2 linked regions of the Drosophila melanogaster genome follow. The protein of the gene in region 2 purifies or fractionates together with the protein of the main gene of each other region. This does not show direct contact. Each region holds a gene or a part of one and is shown on either strand. Other genes may lie near its edges.

Region 1 (4,912 bases), about 14 Mb from region 2:
ACGCATATCCAGGACGTAATACAGTGTCTTGCCCTTCACCTTAATGGGTAGCTGCACCCTGGCCATGTTCCGTGATTCCTCGGCGGAGACGCACTTTAATGGCACGGTCATAATGCGATTCCGGTTGAAGGGACCGTAGGTCACAAAGGAAACGCTCTGACCACCCTTTCTCAAGATAAGAAAACGCACCGATCGCAGGGTAAACATCCAGACAGCAAACAGTATGCCATATCCTAAAATGTTGGTTGAGTTTTATTTTCGGCTTGCCGAGAACGTAGTAAACCACTCTTACCTATCAGAAAGCTACAGGCTGTAATGCCATTTCTGTACTTATTATCGCCCAGATTTATGCGCTGGAACCACTTCAGCTCCTCTCCGGGTTTTTCCACCACTGGAGCATCCTTAAGCGTCGTGAAGGCGAAGTGCGAGAGATATGTCCAGAAAACAAACTGACACACCCCGAAAAAGTTAAGCATCTGGTAGAATCGGGGGTTTTCATACTTGAAAAGTATTATGTCCTTGGGGACACTGGTGTTCACATCGAAGGGGGCGGCTTGGGAGGAGAATCTCTTTATCGTGGAAGTAACCGGCGTTTTTGTTACAATGGCCGGAGCTGCCAGTCTGAAACTCTGGAGGCTAAGGCGCTTGATGGAGTTGACGCCCTGCCGCAGGGCAAAATTCAGCAGATTGCTCATCTTAATTGAATAATTCCCGCATTTGTTATTATAAAACAAATTAACCTATAATCTACAGATGTTTTTGTTTTGTTCCGTTTGCTATTGGTTCACTAGCTCCGGAACTGGAACTAGTTCAACAAAGCAGCCATCAGGGCTGGCACATGCTGACTCCGTTCACTAGTTCACCCATTGGAACAATTAACGAAAATAACACGATTTTTGCAATGTTCACCGTTGTATTTCATGAGAACGTCACATTACTTAAACGGGCCGAAAACATTTGTCAATATGATTCAGTTTTAAGCAAAAGAAGGGACAGGGGAGATCACGTCTTAGTTCCAACTGGCACTTAATAGTTCTGCTCCCATAAATAAAACGTTTAGCTATACAGCCCTAGTAACAACATATGATTTTGTTTGGTTCCAAACTAGGGATGTACACGTGCATGAACTGCATAACGTTTTTTATTTTTGTATATAAATACTATAGAAATGCTGCTTCTCCTCAGCTATTAAATATACATCCTTTTATAATATTACTATCGTAATGAGAAGGTAACCAGTTTAAGTTATATCTGGTCATCATGTTAATAATAATAATAATAATAATAATACAAATTGCGTAAAAATGCAAAGTTGAATATAAGATAAAATAAGTTTTGCCAAAATCCAACCTAAATAAATACAAAAATAATAAGTATTGTTAGAAACGTCCATAAAAAATGTCTTCTCGATGCGTATCAGAAATCGGCATCCGGAATCACGCGCCAATCTCTATTCCAAGTGCCGCTAGCTTGCAATCTGGGCGCTGCTCTTCGGAACCAGTTGTGCATAGACTGGTTCTTTTCGGCACCTTCTGTTGTTGTGCGATTTTAGTCTGTGTTTCAGTCTTCGTCGTTTAAGGGCATCGGAAGTGGAGTTGCCTGCGAATTGTAAACAAATCACGGAGAAGCTGTTAAATTCATTCAAATCATTGACATTTGATAGTTGCCGTTAGACCACAAGTCATATTTCAATAGTTTTCGGTAATATATAAGTTAATAAACGAGTTTGTCGTGTCGTAGAAAGGTAAGTGTAGTTTTTTTTATCCATTTTATGTTATATTTATAATTTTCTTTATAAAAATACCCTGTAATATAATGGTCCAATCGAATGGTACATTTGGGATTTGCATTTTTTTTACTGGGTTTTGAAGTTTTTTTTTATTTGGACTGGGTACGGGTACCATACGCCAGATATGGTACGAGTCTCTTTAAAGACATTTGTGTTTTCAGGGTTGTCAAGTGACCGCGATTTGCAAATCAGGCGAAATCTGATATATATCTGGATTTGTTACTATGCTATATTTTAGACTAGACTACCGACGTGTAGGCAAGACTATATACCGCAATGCCATTGCAATAGGACAAAAAATGACCTGCCGGTGGCAACCCTGCGCGACATCATGGTCTCAATTATACATTTAAAGACATTTGATTTGCGTCTAATCGGACACATCGAGGTTTTATATTATATTCATGATAAACATAATGCATACCTGGCAACCCTAAAAACATAAAATTGTACAATAGGTGAATAAAAACGCCGCCCGTTTTGCTTTTGCTTCTGCTTGCAACCTGCTCGTTTTAGGTTTTTCGGGGTTTAGTCTTTATCGAACGTCTGATACCAGAAACATGCAGAGGGCGCCGAGGGGATTTCAAAAATGTCCTTGCTTTCGTAAAGCATGCAAAAACTTGGATGTTTTTCGATCTAACCTCACTCTGCATCAAAATCGATACGTAACCTAAAAAGAATGTAAATGCGTTGCAAAATCGCACAAATACACGTTCTGATATACATACACGCTCACACCGATGTGCCGTTGCTACAACGAACTTAACTGGTGTGTGTGCGCGTGTTAGAGCGGGACAGCTATAATAGACATATAGCCCAAAATTGGCTTAAATACAAGACCGAACTTTAAAGACGATAAATTGGCCATATATACTTTAAGTTGCAAAAATACGACACCTAAACATGTTTGTTATCTACATTTGTGTGTATAAGCAACGGTTTTAATGGACCTAAGCATCTTGAAAAAAGTATTGCCATCAGAGCAAGTCGAAATTTAATGATCCAATGTCACTAGCTTCTAGGATCAATTTCTTTAATAGAGCTGATATCGAAGGTTTTAGCATTTCATCTACAAAAACAACGACTTTACGCCTCTATTTTTGTTTGCCCGGTGTTGTAGTTGTTGCTTTCGGCTTGCTGCTGTATCTTTGTCGTGCTGTGTTTGGCGCTACGCGAACTTTATTCAATTCCTACATACAGGCAAATATATATAGCCACGTGCATATATAAATTTGGCCTCTTGCTCTCTCTTGCAATTACTCTCCGGCCGCTCTCTCTGTCCGTCCCGCTCACTCCGCAACTTTCTACAAAACCGGTATCCTGGCAAGGTCCTAAGTTCGTTTCGAAAAGACCAGAAGGACGGACGGACTATAGGTTCTAAGTTTTGAAAGTTTGGAAAGTTTGGAAAGTTTCTTTTTTTGACAGGGTTACATTCTGTTACATTTTTGCTTCAGCCTTCTCTGATTCCACATAATCTTTGCGTTCGGCCTCCATCTACAAATCATCTATTTATTAACACTGGTTGGAGCTGTGTGTAGTTGCACTAAGAAATGGATATTCCATAATGTTCTTTACTTATATTGCTCCCCTATTAATTTGTAAACGTATAGTCGTCCCGCTCTAGCTGCCTGTTTCCTCATCTCACCCTGCCGCTCGCGACCAACAAAACGCGTTCTATTTGCGTTATTATTAAACGCTTTGCTTTTTACTCGTTGTTATCAAACAATGTTTTTTGATTCAATGAGGATCCCTGCTCACTTCATTTCGATTTTTATACCATCCCCTATTGCTTTTATTTTTATAATTTTATGGAGAAACTGCCATACCAAAAGAGACTGCCAACTTGCCATAGAGCACAATAACAATGAGGACTGTAGCTTTGCCCTATTTTTCGCGAAAGGTTAAAGTTCAAGATGTGAATGTAGTTTCCTTAAACTCCAGGTGGAATTACATTATCGAATCTTATCATATCATCCCGAGACACGCCCTCCCGCCGACTATCTTCCTCTTACCCGTACGCCCCTGCCGCTTTTACCGCTCTCAGCTGTTTGCTCTCTCGCTCTCATTTTCGTTCGTCGAGAGCTGGTTTGGCGTTCACCTCGTTCATTTTTGCACTAAACGCGGCAAGATGTTGAAGTCATTTTGATTTCTTCGAGTGTAGCCAAATCAAAATAAATCGTTAACAGGGTATCAGGAAGTTTAAGCATGTAAGTTACTAAACTCAATATAACAATGTGCAGTTACGCTATCACGTAAAAACGCAACAAACTCAACATAACCCCACTTTCGATAGTAAAAACTATAACTATAAAGTTATGAGCATAAATTAATAGGTAGCAGTTAATTTTCTCTTTCTCCCCATATTCGCATTTTTCGTCACGCACTTTTTTCCCTTGCACGAATATTTATCGTCGCTTTGCTTTGTCTTTTCGCTACAATCGTGTAGTTATTGTTGCGTTCGGAAAGCGACGAACGCTTAATACTACCAACAACAAGAACAATAACAACGGAGTAGATACACACCAAACCGAACACAAAAAAAAGTAAAAAAAAAAAACAAAAATGTTGGTCTTGAGTTATGATGTTCCTATCATCCTTTGACTATGGAACATCCATACTCAAAGATAACATTGCTTTAATGGCTTCGTATACTTTAGAGTTAGAAAGGACTTCAAAATGAATTCGGGAAAGCGGTTTATGAGTTTTGGCGGAGTCTTAATAAAATATCGCTGGCTTCAGACTCACTTAAAGGTATAATTCCCAAGTTATTGCATTAGCATTTTGACTGGCGAGAACTGGGAATAAGCTTTTAGCGAGCTTTCTTTTAAAAGCTATTTACAAGAAATTTTTGAATGAGATTGAATTTAATTTTTAAAAAAAATATGGCGGTAGCAGGGTTGTGACATGTTTGTTATATCCCAGAGTTGTCAACATACGTCGTGAACTATAATATGGTTTTACTTTTAGCAATTCAATGACGATTAAGTAAATCGATAAAAACATTCAAAATGATGGGAGTAAACCAGACCATGGAACTGAAGGAACTCTCTACAGAGGAAGCTTTGATGCGAACCCTATCCACAGAGCTCGGCAATGAAGTGGAACCTCTCTCCACCCCCGGTA
Region 2 (7,476 bases):
CCTAGAGCTCGCCATGAAGGCGAAGTGCTTTCCCACGGAGAGTAAGTTATCTTTCTCTTTGGAAATATGGGGCATAATCGATTTGTGATCACTCTTTAGCGGATGCTGTACGCATTATAAACGCAGGCGGATTTTACGTTAACCAGAAGCGGGTGCAGAATATCGCCGAAGTGCTAACTACGGGCGTGCACATCCTGCGCAACGGAATTTCTCTGCTGCGCGTGGGCAAACGCAACTTCTATATTGTGCGCTGGCAATAGTTAACAGTAAACCTCTTATCCGGTAATGTTAACTTTTAATTGTTGTTAAATAATCATAGAATGGCTTACATTGTAAGAACTTATGCTATTTATGTGGGTCTGGGGGCGGGCTTTTTGCGCCACCGCTTTCGCGCCAGCATTTCCTTGGCCTTCTCCTTTTTCAGGTCCTTGTCGTAAAACTTGCCGCTCTTCGTGAAGGTCTTCTGCTCGTTGCGCATCTCGGCCAGCTTTCGGTTCTTCTGTTTGATGATGTTCTTCTTGTTGGCCGACTTCTTCTTGCCCGCCTCGGAGATCTGCACCTTGATGTTGCGTCCCTGCAGCTCTGTGTTGTGCAGCTGGAAGGCATTCTGGAAACTGCTTAGGTCGGCCATTTCCACAAAGGCGAAGCCCCCTCGTCGCTTCTTGGGAATGCGGATAGACTTGACCGTGCCTGCCGCAGAGAAGTGCAGCTCCAGGTCGTCCTTTGTGGTTTCGAAGTTCAGGTTCGTCACGTACAGGACGTGTCTGTTGGTTTTGGAGGCTCCTCGAAGCAGTGAACTCAGCTGGTCACTGGTTATCTGCCCATTTTCCGCAGATTCCTCTTCCTCGGCTCCGGAAGCAGCACTGCCCTCAGCGGCTGCCTCGTCGTCGGACTTGGCCTCATCCTCGCTCTTACTATCCTCCGGGTCACTGGGATTCCGTCCGTCCTCCTTGTCCACATACGTGCCCTCGAAGATCTCCCTTCGCTTCTGGTCATCGAAGTTTCCCAATAGATCCGCACTGTCGTCGTTGACTGTGCGTTGAACTCGCTTGGGATTGAAGAAAGCCTCCACCTCATAATCGCTGCCAGAATCACTGGCCATCGTGATATTTCTGGGGGAGATTGCAGTGCACACCGATACGCAGACACCACCACGTGGGATTCCCTCTGAATGGCAAATCTGTGCGGTCCCAGACATTTTCCAGCACTGGCTAATTGCGCGCCAAGAAATTCAAATCCCAGGCCATATTGCAATCGCAGCTTGTTAGAAACCGGTTGCAACTGCGGGAGCAAAATCAGACTGCTAATGGAGTTATGCGAAAATAATGCTAATCGGCGTTAGCATCGAAGGAACCGGTTAGCTCTTATCAGCTAAAAATTAATCGTGCGGTGCTGACAATTGATGAACGTGGTTGTTTTGGGAATCTTCCGCACAGATCTCCAAAGATAACCCCCCGAATATGATATGCCGAGTGGGGCGATAATTAATGCCTGCAGAATGACTGCATCTATGTCTTTTGTTTAATTAAGACAAACGACCGCTGGGAGCCAGTTATGAAGAAAATTTATGCAGTTGGTGATTCCGGCCGGTAAAATGTCAGTGGAGAGCTACATATAAAAGCGCAATTTTCGGCAACCAGCAGTCAAAATTTTATCGCTATCTATCAGCACACACATCCCCTTTCCAACCATGAAGTTTGTGGTAAGTGGCATCGAAATTAGATTTTGGGGACCTCTGAACAACGATTTGTCTTTTAGATCGTTCTTGCCTGCCTTTTGGCCGTGGTCTTCGCCAACGAGGAGGCTGATGTTGTAAAGAGCGACTCCGAGGTTAACTTGCTGGACTTTAACTACGCTTATGAGCTATCCAACCATATTCGCGCCGTGCAAACTGGAGCCTTGAAGGAGCACGACAACTGGGTGGTTTCCGGGGAGTACGAGTACGTGGCCCCCAACGGCAAGACCGTCAAAGTGGTCTACACCGCCGATGAAACCGGCTACCACCCAAAGGTCGTCGAGGCCTAATGAACAGGACCCACTCCCGAAGACCGAAATAAAAAATTAAATCCATTGCAGCAGCGAACATTTTGAATTTCCGTTCTTTTTCTTTTGTGTGAATAGACACTCTTCTTCTTTCTGCCACTAAAATCTAGGGCTGGCAAATTACGAGCGAAATTTTATACAATGTTATCGCTTGTCTCGCAAATTTGCATTAATGTGTAAAGTTAAGTAAACTCATTAAAACTATGTCTGGGCAGCCAACAGCCGTGGACTGCTTAGAGAGCAGTGGAAGCACAGTGGAGGATGTCCAAGAAACACCGGCGTCGAGGGAAAAAAGTTACGGGTTGCCGGTGCGCAAAGGAGAAAATAGCTTGGAGTCTCCTGCAGAACAAGCCGCAAAGGATGTGGAAATTGAGGAACTGACACACAGTGAAGCAATCGCCGCCACCGGTTCAACCAGGAAGCAGTGCCCATATGGAGGTAAGGCCCCTGATGAACCTGGAAAGTTGGCCGACGAATCGGAGGACCGCAAGGGAGAGAACACGAAAGCCATTGCAAGCAGCCCGGTTTTGGTAGCTGTGGATTCGGACAGCAGTGTTGAGCTAATAGAGAGTCCTGTCAAATTCTCCTCCGCCAACGAAAGTGAGAAAGATCCGCCAAAACCAGATGCTGTCAATGAAGCTGCGGCTAAAGAGGCCGAGGAAATGACTGATAGCAGCATCAGCAGTCCCACATCCGAAAGTTTTCCTGAAAAAGATGAAAAGACCAATAAGGAAAATGAGCAAGAACCTCCTGGCATGGAGGTAGATCAGGACGTCGAGGAGTCAATAAGTCGACCAGCAGAAGAATACAAAATTGAGAATACATTAAAAGGTCACAAGCGTATTAGCTTAACGGAAATCGAAGAACACAAAATTGTTGATAAAAAAGACGATGTCCTAGAGGTGGAGCTTGAAAAGGGCACTGCTCCGAAAGCTGCAGAAGACGAGAAGCTGAACGCTTTGTTATCAGATGGAGATGTCTTCTACGACAAGGAATGTGTCAACTGCAATTGCACAAAGCTTCATAAACAGTACGTGTTGGCTAACATGGCCACTTTAAACTTTTACCAGGTGCTCCGAAAGTCTTCCAAGCAGCAGTTCCTCTGCATGGGATGCCATGACACAGCAATGGACTTGTATGAGGTCAACTAGCATATTTATTAACTTAAGAGGGAAACTTAGAACGTATTTCTTTATTTAGGAGTATGCTGGACAACTAATGGCCAAGCAGCCGCTGCTGCTAAAGGATTTCCATCAGGATCACGCCGACTTTGTGGCTCTGGACAGCAGCGATGAGGAGGAAGAGGAGAAGCAGCCAGGTGAGACTGCTATCATGATAAATAAACAATAGCAAAAAAAAAAACGTACTAAATATATTTTATCCGCACAGAAAAATCGGACTTTTCGAAAAACAAGCTGCAGCTCATCGAAGATGAACTCGATGATGCCATCAAAAATGTACTTAACAAGGTGGATTTTACGGCTCAGCTGTCCTGGTCAAAAACTATTCTCCAGGCGAAAGCAGACCACTTGGAGCGACAATTCGCACTGGCAGATGTGGAACTCGAAAAAGTTCAGACCACCGCTGACAAAATGCACTGCGCTTTGTATAACTCGTGTCCGGTGGCACACAAACATCTGCCCACCCTGGACATTGAACCCAGTGACTATGTGGTAAGTAAGAAGTGATGCCGTTTGGATCTGATTTAATACAACCATTTACTCAGCATGAAGTTCCACCTCCTGGCGAAATCGTGCGTCCTCCAATACAGTTGGGAGAGACATACTACGCTGTTAAGAACAAGGCTATTGCCAGCTGGGTGTCCATAAAGGTAATCGAGTTTACAGAGAGCACCGCCATCAACGGAAACACGATGAAGAGCTACAAGATTAGGTACCTCAACACTCCGTACCAGATGATCAAGACAGTGACGGCCAAGCACATTGCCTACTTCGAACCACCGCCAGTGCGACTGACCATTGGTTAGTTCCCAATAGACCGGTTATTTATCAATCTATAAACTAACCCACTCATTGTGCACTAGGTACCCGCGTGATTGCGTACTTCGATGGCACCACTTTGTCGCGGGGCAAGGATAAGGGCGTGGTGCAGAGCGCCTTTTATCCAGGCATCATCGCTGAGCCGTTGAAGCAGGCCAATCGCTACCGCTACCTAATATTCTACGACGATGGGTACACTCAGTACGTTCCGCACCGCGATGTCCGTCTAGTTTGCCAGGCTTCCGAGAAAGTGTGGGAGGACGTACACGCCGCATCGCGCGATTTCATACAGAAGTACGTGGAGAAGTACTCCGTGGATCGTCCAATGGTGCAATGCACCCGGGGACAAAGTATGACCACTGAATCGAACGGGACCTGGCTGTACGCGCGCGTCATTGACATCGACTGCAGCTTGGTGTTGATGCAGTTTGAGGGCGACAAAAACCATACGGAGTGGATATACAGGGGTTCATTGCGCTTGGGTCCTGTCTTCAGGGAAACCCAGAACAATATGAACAGTTCAAGCGCACAGCAGCTGCGTGTCCCAAGAGTAAGCATCGTGTCGATTCATCCTGCGGTCCTAACTACAAAATGTCTTTCTTTTTCAGCGCACGGAGCCCTTTATTCGGTACACCAAGGAGATGGAGTCCAGCAGCAAGGTGAACCAGCAGATGCGTGCCTTTGCCCGCAAGAGCAGCGCCTCCGCCCAAAATAACGCATTAGCGGCTGCATCTTCGGCAGCAACCCCAGCCGGAGGACGCACCAATGCAGGAGGTGTCAGCACCAGTAATAGCGCAAGTGCTGTGCGACACCTAAACAACTCGACAATCTACGTGGACGACGAGAACAGGCCCAAGGGCCATGTAGTCTACTTTACAGCCAAGCGGAATCTGCCTCCCAAAATGTACAAGTGCCACGAGTGCAGCCCGAACTGCCTCTTTAAGATCGTTCACCGTCTGGACAGCTACAGTCCGTTAGCGAAGCCTCTGCTTTCTGGCTGGGAACGTCTTGTCATGCGGCAGAAGACCAAGAAGTCTGTGGTATACAAGGGACCTTGTGGCAAAAGCTTGCGCAGCCTGGCCGAAGTTCACAGGTACCTTCGAGCTACTGAAAATGTGTTGAACGTAGACAATTTTGACTTTACGCCCGACCTCAAGTGTCTGGCCGAGTACTCCATTGATCCCTCGATCGTGAAGGACACGGACATTTCAAAGGGGCAGGAGAAGATGGCGATTCCGCTGGTAAACTACTACGACAACACCCTGCCGCCCCCATGCACCTACGCGAAGCAGCGCATCCCTACCGAGGGTGTTCATCTGAATCTGGACGAGGAGTTCCTCTTGTGCTGCGACTGCGAGGACGACTGCTCGGTAAGACGTCTTACAGATCTGATTACCTCAAATTATACCCAGCCGCCCACTATTTTGTGTATCCCTATCAGGACAAGTCAAAGTGCGCCTGTTGGCAGCTAACGGTGGCGGGCGTGCGGTACTGTAACCCGAAGAAACCCATCGAGGAGATAGGCTACCAGTACAAGCGGCTCCACGAGCACGTGCCCACCGGCATCTACGAGTGCAACTCGCGCTGCAAGTGCAAGAAGAATTGCCTGAACCGGGTGGTGCAGTTCTCCCTAGAGATGAAACTGCAGGTGTTCAAGACCTCAAATCGTGGATGGGGCTTGCGCTGCGTTAACGACATCCCCAAGGGTGCTTTCATCTGTATTTACGCCGGCCATCTGCTCACGGAGACGATGGCCAACGAAGGCGGACAGGACGCCGGCGACGAGTATTTCGCGGACTTAGATTACATAGAGGTCGCTGAACAGTTAAAAGAGGGATACGAGTCGGAGGTGGACCACTCGGACCCGGACGCCGAGGAGGACAACGGGGGACCCGATGCCGAGGACGATGACGACTTCCGGCCAAACTATCACTACCAGCGCAAAATCAAGCGCTCTTCCAGAAGCGGCTCCACGCAGAACAGCTCCACTCAGAGCAGCGAGTTGGACTCGCAGGAGCGTGCGGTGATCAACTTTAACCCAAATGCTGATCTGGACGAGACGGTGCGGGAGAACTCGGTGCGGAGGCTTTTCGGCAAGGACGAGGCGCCCTACATCATGGACGCCAAGACAACGGGCAACCTTGGACGCTATTTCAACGTGAGTTGGAAGTTTTTTGTTATTTTGCCGTGTGGCTGATTCTCTTCTTCTCCCGCAGCACTCGTGCAGCCCCAATCTCTTCGTGCAGAACGTGTTCGTGGATACTCACGACCTGCGTTTCCCCTGGGTTGCCTTCTTCTCGGCCGCGCACATCCGCTCCGGCACCGAGCTGACTTGGAACTACAATTACGAGGTGGGCGTGGTGCCCGGCAAGGTGTTGTACTGCCAGTGCGGGGCCCCCAATTGCCGCCTTCGTCTGCTCTAAGTTCTAGCTTAAGTTAGAGATCCATACAGGAAATATACTCATTAAAGAAGAATTAGAATTAAAAATTTAAACTTTAAACATTATCTGTTCCGTTAGGGTAACGGAAACATTGCATTTTTATAAGCTACTGCTGTTCTGCACCGTCCGTTTCAAAGTACACAATTTTCTTCACGTTTAGTGTTAAAGGAATAAATATAGACAAATGAATTTTAAAAAATTATACTTTAAAAAAATAATAATGTTCGTTAATTTAACGGTATTAATTTATGTGGTATTTTAACGCATTTTACCTAGTGGTATACTTAATCATCAGCCGTACGGTATTTTTAATCGTTATCCGAACGGTCACACTATCCACCGAGCAAAAAAGCAAATTTAGGCTTTTTAAAATTCGAGAGTAGCTAAATTAGGGGCCGCAATGCGCCAAGCTCACCTGTAAGTGGCTCCAGCAAGTGTCTCGTCGCAGGTGCACAGGTGCTAGGCAGCAGGACTCCGCCGACGGCTGACTAAGAGCAGCTTATCCGCCCCTTGGGAAGAAAAAATCGATTTTGTGATAACGGGCTTACGCTTACGCGTTTTTGCACTGCTAGTCGGAACCAATTGCCAGTAGACTCCACACCATGAATGTGGACTTTGCGAGGGTGTGCGGGAAGCACATAGGCGTCTACGAGGCCTACTACAAACTGGTAAGCGCACCACGCCTCCAAGCCGCACTGTTACCAGGATGGCGGCCAATGTTGAGCATCCGTATCCACACCCACCCTCTATCGATTTTTGCAGATTGACCCCAAAGGCACAGGGGCAATCGAGGCCATGACTGCGGCCAAGTTTCTCAAGAAGTCGGGCCTTAGCGACGTTGTGCTAAGCAGGATCTGGGACCTGTCTGATCCGAGCGGCAAGGGCTTTCTGGACAAGCCGGGCTTTTTTGTAGCCCTTAAGCTGGTGTCCCTGTCGCAGGCGGGACAGGTGGCCAGCATGGCCAACATCTACCTGGACATTGCCAACCCGCC

Evidence for each region. The genes of interacting proteins can lie anywhere in the genome.
Region 1: the proteins of egg (region 2) and wde purify together in Drosophila melanogaster (affinity purification with western blotting; 4 studies listed by BioGRID, with this or other methods). This does not show direct contact.

What each region holds. Positions count from the first base shown.
Region 1 is NT_033778.4:10,805,572-10,810,483, reverse strand, and holds the start of wde (windei), read left to right. Parts: upstream 1-1,545; 5' UTR 1,546-1,744; intron 1,745-3,946; exon of another isoform or gene 3,947-3,996; intron 3,997-4,756; 5' UTR 4,757-4,797; coding exon 4,798-4,909; intron 4,910-4,912. Other genes in the region: CG12935 (uncharacterized protein), read right to left, coding at 1-233, 293-695.
Region 2 is NT_033778.4:24,774,584-24,782,059, reverse strand, and holds egg (eggless), read left to right. Parts: upstream 1-2,158; 5' UTR 2,159-2,246; coding exon 2,247-3,185; intron 3,186-3,243; coding exon 3,244-3,361; intron 3,362-3,432; coding exon 3,433-3,716; intron 3,717-3,769; coding exon 3,770-4,025; intron 4,026-4,087; coding exon 4,088-4,593; intron 4,594-4,651; coding exon 4,652-5,413; intron 5,414-5,484; coding exon 5,485-6,201; intron 6,202-6,259; coding exon 6,260-6,466; 3' UTR 6,467-6,526; downstream 6,527-7,476. Other genes in the region: TyrRS-m (Tyrosyl-tRNA synthetase, mitochondrial), read left to right, coding at 1-41, 100-260; CG3594 (uncharacterized protein), read right to left, coding at 350-1,102; Lcp9 (larval cuticle protein 9), read left to right, coding at 1,691-1,702, 1,759-2,025; Eps-15 (epidermal growth factor receptor pathway substrate clone 15), read left to right, coding at 7,087-7,152, 7,247-7,476. UniProt on the Drosophila melanogaster protein: Histone methyltransferase that specifically trimethylates 'Lys-10' of histone H3 (H3K9me3) in ovary. H3K9me3 represents a specific tag for epigenetic transcriptional repression by recruiting Su(var)205/HP1 to methylated histones.